Oryctolagus cuniculus: one gene and its partners. The protein of the gene in region 1 interacts with the protein of each later gene in a biochemical or structural test. Links are inferred from orthologs where the notes say so. Each region holds a gene or a part of one and is shown on either strand. Other genes may lie near its edges. The genes, in order: RAB11A, RAB11FIP4 and RAB11FIP1.

What was found.
Region 2: the proteins of RAB11A (region 1) and RAB11FIP4 form a complex in vitro, tested with the Homo sapiens proteins (2 studies listed by BioGRID, with this or other methods). The link is inferred for Oryctolagus cuniculus from reciprocal best matches to the Homo sapiens genes RAB11A and RAB11FIP4.
Region 3: the proteins of RAB11A (region 1) and RAB11FIP1 form a complex in vitro, tested with the Homo sapiens proteins (2 studies listed by BioGRID, with this or other methods). The link is inferred for Oryctolagus cuniculus from reciprocal best matches to the Homo sapiens genes RAB11A and RAB11FIP1.

What each region holds. Positions count from the first base shown.
Region 1 is NC_091443.1:88,885,937-88,890,072, reverse strand, and holds the start of RAB11A (ras-related protein Rab-11A), read right to left. Parts: upstream 2,873-4,136; coding exon 2,833-2,872; intron 1-2,832. UniProt on the Homo sapiens protein: The small GTPases Rab are key regulators of intracellular membrane trafficking, from the formation of transport vesicles to their fusion with membranes.
Region 2 is NC_091448.1:42,620,181-42,624,297, reverse strand, and holds the start of RAB11FIP4 (rab11 family-interacting protein 4), read left to right. Parts: upstream 1-1,304; 5' UTR 1,305-1,341; coding exon 1,342-1,500; intron 1,501-4,117. UniProt on the Homo sapiens protein: Acts as a regulator of endocytic traffic by participating in membrane delivery. Required for the abscission step in cytokinesis, possibly by acting as an 'address tag' delivering recycling endosome membranes to the cleavage furrow during late cytokinesis.
Region 3 is NC_091433.1:87,723,822-87,727,458, forward strand, and holds part of RAB11FIP1 (rab11 family-interacting protein 1), read right to left. Parts: intron 655-3,637; coding exon 215-654; intron 1-214. UniProt on the Homo sapiens protein: A Rab11 effector protein involved in the endosomal recycling process. Also involved in controlling membrane trafficking along the phagocytic pathway and in phagocytosis. Interaction with RAB14 may function in the process of neurite formation.

The DNA of each region.
Region 1 (4,136 bases):
TTCACTGGGATTGTTTCCACTGACAATCAGCTGACGCCTAATTACTACTGACCTCCACCGAGAGGAAAGAAAGGGCGGTGAGCAAGACTGCACACCCAGATGCTTTCAGAACAAGTGACTTAGACTGGACCGGTGTCTGATACCGTGTTTGTCAACAGGAACTACAGCCGCTGCCTACTTCATTTATGTGTCCCTCGGGATCTTACCCATGTTGTGCGTAAATACTTAAAGAACTGCAGTTTTTAAAATAAAAAGTCAAGCTTCAAAAAATAAAACCAATCCCCCCAACCAAAAGCTTCACTGCTGAGCTTGAGTGAAGATTAATGTGCAAGAACAAATACGTAATTTAGAATAACTGTCCTACGCTCCCCACATTAGATTCCCATTTAGACCACGCCGTCCCACGCTGATCCAAACAACCCTTCATTTCCAACTGGTTAGAGTTACAAATTAACTCCACTTCCTTCAGCTATTAAGTCTGCTAGGTAAGACTTCTTTGAAGTAGAGACAGCAATGGTTCATCTCAGTGACCAAATCTCTGTAGAAGGAAACCATTTTAAAGTAAAATTATTCTTGCCTAGCTTTAAAATGAGAATTGTATAAATAAAGAGACTGGCTAAATAATCAAGCATTGAAGTTAAGAAAAAAAAAAGGTGACTCATATCCTGTAAGAGCTTCGAAGGCATGGAAATCCTCCTCAGCAGAATTTTTAAACACCATATTTTAAACAGCACAACAAGATGAAGCCCTAACCCATGAACATAAAATAGTTGAAGTTCCTACTTCTATGCTTCTTTAATAATATGTAAATGCTCTTCCGTTTAGAAATAAAGTTCAAAAAACGGACAAGATCCACAGTAACTTCCTTCAATGCACTGAGCCCTCACAGGAGCTAAAGTCGTAACTGCCCGGCAGGCTTGATCAGCCAGTCCCGGAGTTTGCTTCAGAGCTGGGGCTCCAAACACTTAACTTTCCCAAGGTCGTAAACCCAAGAGCAGAGTGGAATGTGAACTCAGGTGTCTGTGGTTCCAAAACCCTGTGCTCTCAATGTTACAAGGATGGTCTAATTCCTGAAACCAGGATGGCTAATATTCTGGGGTTGTTTTTTTCCCCAACATTCCAGTTCCAAACCAATCAGGAGAAAAACCCTGAGAGTCTACCTTGCTCTAAAGTACTTCAAAGGTAGCTAACTGCCCATGACATTGTAAAGGATTTGAAAAACAAACAAAAACCTGCCTTTAATGACTAAACCCAAAAGGCTCCAGGGACTGAAGTAACTTCCCATCAATTCCGACGCCTTCTGCAAAAAGTACACAAACTAATGCAGGTCTCCTTTTCGTCTCTGTAAAGTGAACCGAGTGCCTTTTTCACTGTAATGACTTTCCAACACGGAGGTCGTAGACATCGAAGGTACCCAGCCTATACTCACCCTATACATAGAATATTCCACCTCGGAGGACTAAGGTAAGAGCATATTATCACCGAGATTTGCAAAAGTATTGGTAAAGCAAAGCAATGGTTCCTGCTTCCTTCGGTCAATCATTCTAAGCAACCAATGGCAAAGTCAGAAACAGTCACCGTGCTCACCACTCTTTCAACTCCGCCTCCACGGTAAAGCTTTAATAGCAATGGCTTCTTCCTCCCCGTAATGATCTTTGTTCAGCTCACTACTGATGGCTGCCCTCACTCAGGAGGGAGGACTACCAGAGCCGAGCGCAGCCACTGAACAAAAAGCATTTACTGGACTCGTCTCTTACGGAGAACTGAGCCCTTCACCTTCGCTGATTAAAAAACAAAAACTCTGGATTCTCCCCGACTCCTCTCGCCTCTCCCCACGCTCCAATTACGTACTGTCCAAGGGCACACACGTTCCCCTCTCTGATCACCACGGTTTAAATGGACCCGAAGAGCACACAAGTCCCCTCTCCCTCCTTTTGGGAAAGGTAGGCGGCCCACTAGGGCTCTTCCCTTCCTGTTGGATCCTCCCAGGGTTGCAGCAGGAAGCAACCAGTCCACAGTGATAAAGCAGGCTAGTATTTGTGCAGCGCGCAACCTTTCCTGCTCAGGAACTGGGCCTTCAGGTCTGGCCGGGATAACAGCCACCACCCATCCGCAACCCCTTCCCGCGAGCCGCGTACCGAGTGATCCCGGGTTGGCTGCAGCTGGGTCGGAAGAGGAGTTAAAAAAAAAAAAAAAAAAGGCTAGGTGGGAAGTCCCCGCCGGTCGGGCCACTGCGACAAGTGCACGCAGGGGTGATGGACAAGCCCCCCGGCCCTCGGCACAGAGTTCCCAACTCGGGGGTGGGCGGCGGCCGGCCCGTGAAGGCTGCGCGGCGGGTGGGGTGGGGTGGGGGCCCGAGCCGGGGAGCGGGGGGCGGCCGCCCGAGGGGAGGGGCGACGAGAAAGGCTCGCGCGGGGGAAGGGGACACGCAGGGAAAAGCCCCGCGGTGGGAGCCTGAGCCGAAGGGCAGGCCCAGGGAGCGGCCCGGGGCCTGTCACCAAGGCCGGGAGGGGATGGAGCCGGCCCGGGCTGATGCTGCGAGGGAGAGGTCGCGGGCGGGAGGGGCGCGGGGCCGCGGTGGGGGAGGACACGCGCGCACACACGCGCGCACACACGCACACAGCGAGGGGCGCCGAGGCCTGGCGGGAGGCGGCCGTGGGGACGCCGGTGCGAGCGGCCGTGGGAAGCTCCGTGCGGGGACGGCCGGACGACCCGCAAGGAAAGGAAGGGCTGAGGCAGGCCCATTTTGGGGCTGGGGCAGCCCGCACGCGGGTCCCCCGGGAGTGTCCCGAGCCCCCCGAGGGCGGACAGGGCCGGGGGCCACGGCCTCACCTTTGAAGAGGTAGTCGTACTCGTCGTCGCGGGTGCCCATGGCGCGGCCGAGAGGCGAAGGGGCGGGAGCAGCGGCGGCTTCGGTGGGACCAGGGGGCGTCGCTGCAGGGGTAACCCGAGCGCGGAGCCTCAGCTGCCGGACCGGCTGGAGAGCCCCGCCCTGCCGCTGCGCCACTTCCGGCAGGCCCCAGCCCCTGAGGGAAGTACTTCCGGGGAGGTGGCGTCCCGCCCCCAGCCGGGGACGGGCGGTGCGTCGGCGCCCGCTGTAGCGTCAGTCCTCAAGTCTCACCCTCCGAAAGAGTTTCAGAGGACGAAACCCTGAGTCCCGGCTTCCCAGCTGGTGCCAGTCGTAGTGGCCTCTTGTTCATTTCTGGCACCGCCCAGCCGGGCAGCGGGGCGCGGGAGCGCGTGGAACCCGCTTCTGATGGTTGGGTGTGCGATGGGGGCGGGGTTCTCTAAGGATTAGAGGGCCGGAGCCGGCAGCACACGCGTGGCGGTTCCATGGTGTAATGGTTAGCACTCTGGACTCTGAATCCAGCGATCCGAGTTCAAATCTCGGTGGAACCTGCTCAGCTTGCTTTTTCTTTTTCCTCCCCGAAGTCACATTTTTATTTACTTCACTTATTTGCATTTCAACAAATGTGACATACTGGGTCTTGCCTTTGGTAGGGTGAGAATTAGAAAAAGTAAAATATAATATTCGCCTACGAAGACCTCTGCCCCCTGGGGTGCTCGTCCTTGGCCTCTTCGCCCTCTATAGCGTGGACCCTCTGCCTCCAGCTTTGATTCAGAAGCTTCAGTGAAACTGAATTCCTCTTGCTGGAATTGCCCGTCCTCAGCCTCAGTCAGTACAGGATCCCCTCACCCGCTCCTCCCTGGAAATGTGTCGGATGCTCTCCATACATTGCCACCGTCCTCATCAACAGTCATCAGGAAAGAGTCCCATCTGGTGGCCGCCTACGTCCTCACCGGACAGGCAGAGCACGGGCTGCCCCTTGTCCTTTGACCCGAGTGATCCGCAGAGCTTCCTGGTATTTGGAGAATTCTGTGAATGCCAAAGAAAAGCCTCACAGACAAAGCCTCCCCCGCCCCTTAGTATCACAGTCCCACCGCCTGTGTGCAAACTCAGTTTACACTCTGGTCCAAAAGTGTCTGTGAACTATGACCCCACCCCCTATTGCCACCCCCACTCCCTGCTCCCCCACAGAATGCCCACCGCTGACACCTTGAGTTTCGCCCAGTGAGACCAGCATTCAAAAGTTTGTGATCATTGGTTAGGGCAGGAATAAAAATAAAATCGGGGG
Region 2 (4,117 bases), on another chromosome or scaffold:
CCAGGCACCTGTACGTGAGGACAGACCGGGAGTCCGCTCAGTGGGCTGGGTCTCTGAACACATGTGCAGATGGCATGCTTACCGGCCCTGGAGGAGATGAGGCGCCTGGAGACCACAGTGGCAGGTGGCAGAAGAAAACAGCCGGCCAGGGCGGGGCCGTGTCTGCAGGCCCCGAGAGCCCAGAGGTTTTCTCTCCAGAGAAGAGTTTGAGGGAGATGAGTCTGACAGGAGCACCCGAGGGCAGGAGGAGACAGGACAGCAGCCAGGGCACTGTCACAGCCAGGACACTCAAGGCAGGCCCGAGGCGCCAAGGGTCTGTCTCCAAGAGAAAGCCAATTCTACAAGAAAATGGGATTTACAATGATACGGCCTCGGATTCTCCTGCCAGTCTTCCCATGGCCGGAACAGGGGTTCTGAAGAACCATCTTTTCTTGGGTACATCTTCAATCTCTCTGCGGCATCTAGAGATCCGTGTTTTTAGGATAGAGTGGTTAAATCCAAGACTGCGGCATAACCTAACATTGATAGGGACTGATACATTTTTAAAATAAACCCATGGGTCCTTAAACCTGCAAGACCAGGGCCATGGAGGCCCGGCACCCCCAGAGCCACCCAGCTCCACCCCGACCCGGCTGTGAATCCGGGCCCTGCCTCCCCCAAGCAGAGGAACCCTTCTGGGTCCCAGCTGCCTCAGAAGTGAGCGCCAAACCCCGGTTCCGCCTTGGGAAACGCTAAACGCCATCCAGGGGCGCGGGCAGCAAGCATGGGTTGGCCACAGGGTGGGGGCCCGCGGTACTGGGGGCCCCGGGGTCCCCGCCTCACCACTGAATTCTCCATGGGAGGGGAGTGGGGGGCGTTTTCGGGCTGCTAGGGAGTTCCCGGCACCTGCTGCGCCCGGGGGCGGCGGGGCGGCTACCCTCCCGGTTTTCCAGCTGAGGAAGCGAGCTGGGGAAACTGAGTCCGCGAAGGAGGCGGCCGTTCGCGGCGCGCTCCTTCGCCTGCCCGGCGAGGTCTGCCGCGCTCGGGAGGGCGCGCGGCTCCTTTTGTCTGCAGCGTCCCCGCCGCCGCCACCGCCTCCCCGCGCCCGCGTGCACCGCGGCCCCCACCTCTCCCCTCCCCTCCCCTCCCCTTCCCCCCCCTTCCCCCGCCCGCCGGGAGCGGCGGGGCTGCGGCGCCGCAGCTGACACGGATCGGCTGCTGCTGCCGGGCGGAGGCTGCGCGCCGCACACCCAGGCGCGCGGCGATGGCCACGGCCATGGCGCTGGCGGCGGCGCGGGGCGGGCTGCGGCGGCGGCGGCGGCGCGCGGCGCGGGGCTCGGGCTGACTGCGGGGCCGGCGCGGATGGCGGGCGGCGCGGGCTGGGCGGGCGCCCCCGCGGCTCTGCTGCGCTCCGTGCGCCGCCTGCGCCAGGTGTTCGAGGTGTGCGGCCGCGACCCCGACGGCTTCCTGCGCGTGGAGCGCGTCGCGGCGCTCGGCCTGCGCTTCGGCCAGGGAGAAGAGGTAAGGTGGTGGTGGCGGCGGCGGCCCGGCCGGGCCTCGGCACCCTCCCGTGCCCCCTCCCGCGGCCGCTCCCCGGGCCCCAGGCCGTGGCTTTCTTCGCGGGACAAATCCCTCCCGTGCCGACCCTTCCCTCCGCGGCAGCTGAACACCTGGAGCCCGCGGTGCCCCTGCGTAGTCGGACCCCGGCTTCCACCCTTAGCCCCGTGACGGGAGCGCCACGCGTCACGCCCAGGTGGCTGCCTGCCCGCCTCTCCTCCCCGGCAGTGCGGGTGCGCGCGAGTGGACTGCAGACCCACTTGGTGTTTGGGGGGAAAGCAGCTGTCAGAAGCTGGCTTCAGGTCGCCACCCCATGCTGCGGAGACCACACGCCGGGTCTGTGCGCCCCCGCTGGGCCTGGCCCAGGTGGAGAGGGGCCCAGCGGGGGCGCGCCGCAGCCTTGGCCCCTTGGATGCACCCACCCTGCTTAGAACATCCTGCTTGCGGCCAGGCTGGACTCTGAGCCCAGTGCCCGGTCACCTCCCTTTGGAGCTCTGATGGGCAGGCCTGGCTGGCAGCTGGCTGTGGTGGCTGCCGAAGGCCTGCCAGAGCCAAACTTAGCGATGGTAGTGAGCGGAGTGGTTTTTTGTGCTGAGGCCCATCTGGGGGAAGGCGGCACCGGTGCCTCTTGTTAGCAGGGCTGGACTCAGAAAGCCGGTACTACGGGTGGGTGGACAAAAGCCCAATAACCGCGTGCCCTCTTCCTGCCATCAGCGCTGGGACTGGTGACTGTGCCTTAGGGAAGGACAGGGAGGGCACTGCGCGTTCTGATATGGGCGCAGTTCTCTTCTGGGGACACAAGTCCTGAGCAGCTTCCATGGCTGCCTAAGACCTAGAGCCCTGCACAGAAAGCTTTGGGCCTTAGACCTCAGGTGGGCGCTGGCCGAGATCTTGTTCCCAGGACAGATGGGTCAGGACTGTGTGTGTGTGTGTGTGTGTGTGTGTGTGTATGTATATATGTGTGTGTGTATATATATATACACATACAGATATATATATAAAGTTTGTTTATTTTCATCTACGCCAAAGGCAGAGCAACAGAGAGAGACAGAGAGAGATCTTCCATCTACTGGTTTGTTCCCCAAATGCTTGCAACAGCCAGGACCCGGCCAGGACAAAGCCAGGATCCCAGATCTCCACATGGGTGTCCAGGGTCCAGGCACTTGGGCTGTCACCTGCCACCTCTCAGGTGCATCAGCAAGGAGCTGGAAGCTGAGAGGCTGGGGCCCAGAAGAGCACTCCAGGCTGGGCTGCAGGTGTCCCGAGTGGCGGCTTAGCCCCCTGTGCCACAGTGTCCGCAGCAGGCCTGGCATCTTAGAACAGGAGAAAAGCCAGGTGATGGCCTGGTCGGCCCGTGCCTCTCTGTCACCTGGCAGGTGGGAGGTGGGAGATCACCATCTGTCCATGAGTGCCTAGGAGGCCCTGGGAGCAGTAAGTCAGAGTGGGGCAGGTGTCACTCAAGAAGCCTCAGCTTCCCCTTAGGGTCCGCCCTCCCCTCTGCGGGGCCTTGCTAGGGGCTTTTGCTCTCCCACCGAGATCCTTGAGCTCCCTCAAGGATCAGCCAAGCCCCTCTGCTTGGCTAGTGCCTAGCATCTGGGGCCGGTGAGCAGCCCCTTCCTCTGGGGGCATCAGCTGCAGGCAGGGGGCAGAAGCTGCCCAGCTCAGGCTGAATCCTGCCATCCCAGAACCCCAGAGCCTCAGCCAGTGCCCCCTCAAGCCTCACCTTCTTATCCCAGGCCAGACCCTCGCACACTACCTGCACGTCACATCATCACCGCTCTTCTGTGCAGGGACTCACGTGGGTCTCCGCGCTACGTGGCAGCCTTTAAATACTTAAAGCAGTGCTCCTGCCCCTTCACGCCTCCCCACCCACTCACGCCTGTTTTCCTTTCTGCAGGCTATTTCTGTGCCGCCCTGGAGCTGCCCTCAGCTATTTGCCTGGCCCCATTTCAGTGCCAGCGACATGAAGGCGTTGAGCCAGGAGACCCCCGCCCCGCCCCCCGACCTTTCCAGCCTCGGCATGTGACGCATGCGCACAGGTGGCTCCGAGCGGGGCCGCCTGTGCAGTAGTGCACCGTGCTGTGCACTCACAGGAGGGTTCTGGCCCCTGAGACCCCCAGGGCCTGCTTCAGAGGCCTCTGGCAAGGCAGGGAGGCTGCGCAGGGGGACGGCCAGGGATTTCTTGCCTTTTAAGTCTAATCGTCCATTTTTACGGAAGCAGTTGATACGTACTACGGGGAACTAGAGATGTGGACAAGAAAAATCACAGTAGTACACTCCCCTCTCCCAAGCAGCCCTGTGGTGACACTTCGGGCGGATCCTTCCGGGGCTGTTTCTAAGCTTAGATGTAGATTTCCTGCATAAAATGAGATCATGCTGTGCATACTGTTTTGTAACCTAATTTCTGTTCCAGGAAATGATCATTATTTTTCTGCTTCAGTAAATTTTCATCTCATTTCATATGCAGACCTTTTTCAGATTTCCCCGTCTGACCTCAAAATGTCCACTTGTGCTGTCATGTTCAAGCCATGCTCCTCTCTGGGAAAGTGCCGTGCGTCCGGTTGTTTGGCCCCTCGGCCTC
Region 3 (3,637 bases), on another chromosome or scaffold:
ATGGGATGCCAGTGTTGCAAATGGCTTAAAAATGCTGGCCCCAATAAATAAAAATTTTAAGAAAGAAATCGAGTTGGCCTCTTTGCTGAGATTACCCGTCACCATCATCATTTTAGGGACTGGGGAGCTGAATAAAGATCTCCAGATTGGTCTCCCTCTCAAAGCACAATGGACGAGGGCAGAGAGACCAGGGGCGGAGGAGGCAGGGACTCACCGTCGGCGGCAGAGGAGGGCTCGTCCTCATCCTCATCGCCCCAGCGGGACTGCAAGTCCCCGGGGCGCAGCAGCACCTTGTCCGGCTTCGAGGTCGGCAGGACAGACATGGACTGGGAGAGCGGTGTCTTCTGCAGGTTCGACTTGGAAAACAAGGTCTTGATCTTGGACTTCTTCTTCTTGTCTTTGGAAGGAGCCTCGTCGTCGCTGTCCGCGGAGGCCATCGTGCTGGGGACGATGGCCGAGGCGGTGTCGGAGGCGCTGTCCTTGCTCTTGCCTTTGATCTTGTCCTTGAGCTTCCCGAATGGGTTCCGAGACTTGTCCTTCACGGACAGGTCGAACATGCTGGCCGTCATGCTGTTCCTCATGAACTGGATGTCCACCTCGATCTCCCCTCGCTCCTTGTCCTGCTTGCCAGGCTTGGATCTCAAGCGGTACCACCTAAAGGGAGACAGGTGAGGGGTCACCTTGGGACAGAAGTGCCCGAAACAATGCCCCACCTCCCAGTGACGGTCCCTCCTCTCTGCTCTACCAACCTCGTACACACACACACACACACACACACACGAGTTAGCCTTTCTCTTTACCGGCTGAGGGCAGAACCTGTGCTGTTATTTATTTATTAAGATGTATTTATTTATGTATCTATCTGAAAGTCAGAGTTAGAGAGACAGAGACAGAGAGAGATCTTCCATCTGCTGGTTCACTCATCAAGCGGCCGCAACAGCCAGGCCAGCAGGAGCCTGGAACTTCGTCCAGGTCTCCCACGTGGGTGGCAGGGGCCTACACACTTGGGCCATCTGCTGCTGCTTTTTCCCCAGGTGCATTAGCAGGGAGCTGGATTGGAAGTGGAGCGGCCAGGACATGAACCAACGCCCATACGGGATGCCGGTGTTACAGGTGCCGACTTTACCCGCTATGCCACAGTGGTGGCCCTGAGTTCTCATTTCTGAGACGGCAATGACGACATCTGATGTACTACTTAGTGTATGATCCCCTAAAACCCTGATTCAACAAAGAGCTATTTCTAAAGATAAAGAGACAGACATTCCATCAAATCACTTCTGATCCATGTATGTTTCCTCAACAGAGTAAGGACGCAGAGATTATGCGCAAACAGCTAAGAAAGTGGCACTGGAGCTTACAGGTGGATCTCAGAGAGGGACAGGTACTGAGCCCTTCAGTTAGGTGCCTGCCTCCCACTGCACAGTACCTGGGCTTGATACTCCGGCTCCTGACTGCGGCCGCCCAGCAATGCAGACCCCAGGAGGAGGTGAGATGACTCCAGTCACTGGGCTCCTGCTACCCCATGGGGGATGCAGATTATGTTCCCAGCTCCCAGCTCCGGCCCCTGCCCAGCCCCAGTCATTGAAAGCATTTGGGTAGTAATCAGCAGATGGAAGATACTTTCTCTCTTGCTCTCTCTTCTTTAAAGAATAACTGAAAAAGACACAGTTAAAAATGAAAAAAGGTGGGGGGGGGGCTGGCTCTGTGGCATAGCAGGTAAAGCTGCCACCTGCAATGCAGCATCCCATATGGGTGCCGTTTGGGTCCCAGCTGCTCCACTTCCGATCCAGCTCTCTGCTATGGCCTGGGAAAGCAGTAGAAGATGGCCCAAGTCCTTGGGCCCTGCACCTGCGTGGGAAACCCAGGAGAAGCTCCTGGCTCCTGGCTTCGATCGGCAGAGCTCCGGCCGTTGCAGCCAACTGGGGAATGAACCAGTAGATGGACAACCTCTCTCTCTCTCTCTCTCTCTCTCTCTCTCTCTGCCTCTCAAGCAAACTGATTTTTTTTTAAAGGTTTTATTTATTTGAGAGTTAGAGTTACAGACAGAGAAAGGGACAGAGAGGTCTTTTATCCACTGGTTCACTCCCCAAATGGCCACAACAGCTGGAGCTGGGCTGATCTGAAGCCAGGAGCCTCTTCCAGGACTCCCATGCAAGTGCAGGGGCCCAAGGACTTGGGCCATCTCCTACTGCTTTCCCAGGCCACAGCAGAGAGCTGGATTGGAAGTGGAGCAGCCGGTACTAGAACTGGTACCCATATAGGATGCCAACACTGCAGGCAGAGAATTAACCTACTGTGCCACAGCACTGGCCCCGCAAAATTAATTTTAAAAAAATAATAAACATGGGGCCAGCTCTGTGGCAGCATCCCATATGGGCACCAATTCAAGTCCTGGCTGCTCCACTTCCAATTTACCTCCCTGCTAATGGCCTGGGAAAGCAGTGAAAGATGGCCCAAGTGCTTGGGCCCCTGCACCCGCATGGGAGACCCTGAAGAAGCTCCTGGCTCCTGGCTTCAGCCTGCCTGGCTGTTGCGGTCATTTGGGGAGTGAACCAGCAAATAGATGATGTCTCCTTTTCTCCCTCTCTCTGTGTGTAACTGCGCCTTCCAAAGAAGTAAACGAATCTTTAAAAAATAATAATAAATGTGTCATAAAGTGACAAATACAACATAATTCCACGTACATGAACTACTCCAGGTAGTCAAATTCGCGGAGACAGAAAGCAGGATGGTGGCTGCCAGGGGCTGGCAGGGTGGGAAATGGGAGTCAGTGTTTGAGGGGCACAGAGCCCGAGCCGGAGACATGGAGCAGTCCTGGCGGTGGACTGGCGGTGCCAACCACACGAGGATGCATACGGGTGTGAGGTCACAGCTGTGCACCTAAGACGGCTCCCACGTGACTTTTATGTTACGTGTATGTTGCCGCAGTAAAAGACAGGGAGACACTGGAAGGCAAGTATTCTTCCTTAGCCGAATCATTAGAAAAAGGGGCAATGCAAACCTGATTCAGATATCTCACTCGGCCACTTGCAAGCAACTGCAGCACACGCCACAAGGCCACCCCAACCCACGGCGTCCACCTTCCTGGGAGCCCAGTAGGTATCTTCGGCAGACCAGAGGGGAACGTGTGCTCCACCAAGGCAGGACCATTGGGGGCCGAGCACCTGCCCGGCCTCCGTAGGCCTGGCTGCCCGCTACCTCTCAGACTCAGAACCCACATCCTGACATTTTTTCAGTGACCTACTTTGCAAGAGCCGAGGGCCAGACTTTAAGGAAATGATGGTTTTGCCCACATGAGCACAACTTCCTCTTTCACCTTCAGCAGGGGCTCGCTCACAGGGCAGGTCAGGGGGGACAGAGGAGGGTAGAAACCTCACCCATCCACAGCACCCATGGCACACCTGGCACGGTGCATGTACGGCTCCAAGAATGGCTTGGGGTGGACAGCGTACCCACTTTACAGACGCGTACACTGACACTCAGAAGTTAGATTCTTGGATCCTAGGCCTTGCACACTGCTATGGGGACGGCCAGGACCCCGCATCAGCTCTGCATTTCCCCAAAGCTCCTGCTCCTTCGCATCCACCCAGATTCCCACCGTAACTTAAATCCCCTCGTTTGTCTTCCATGGCCCATC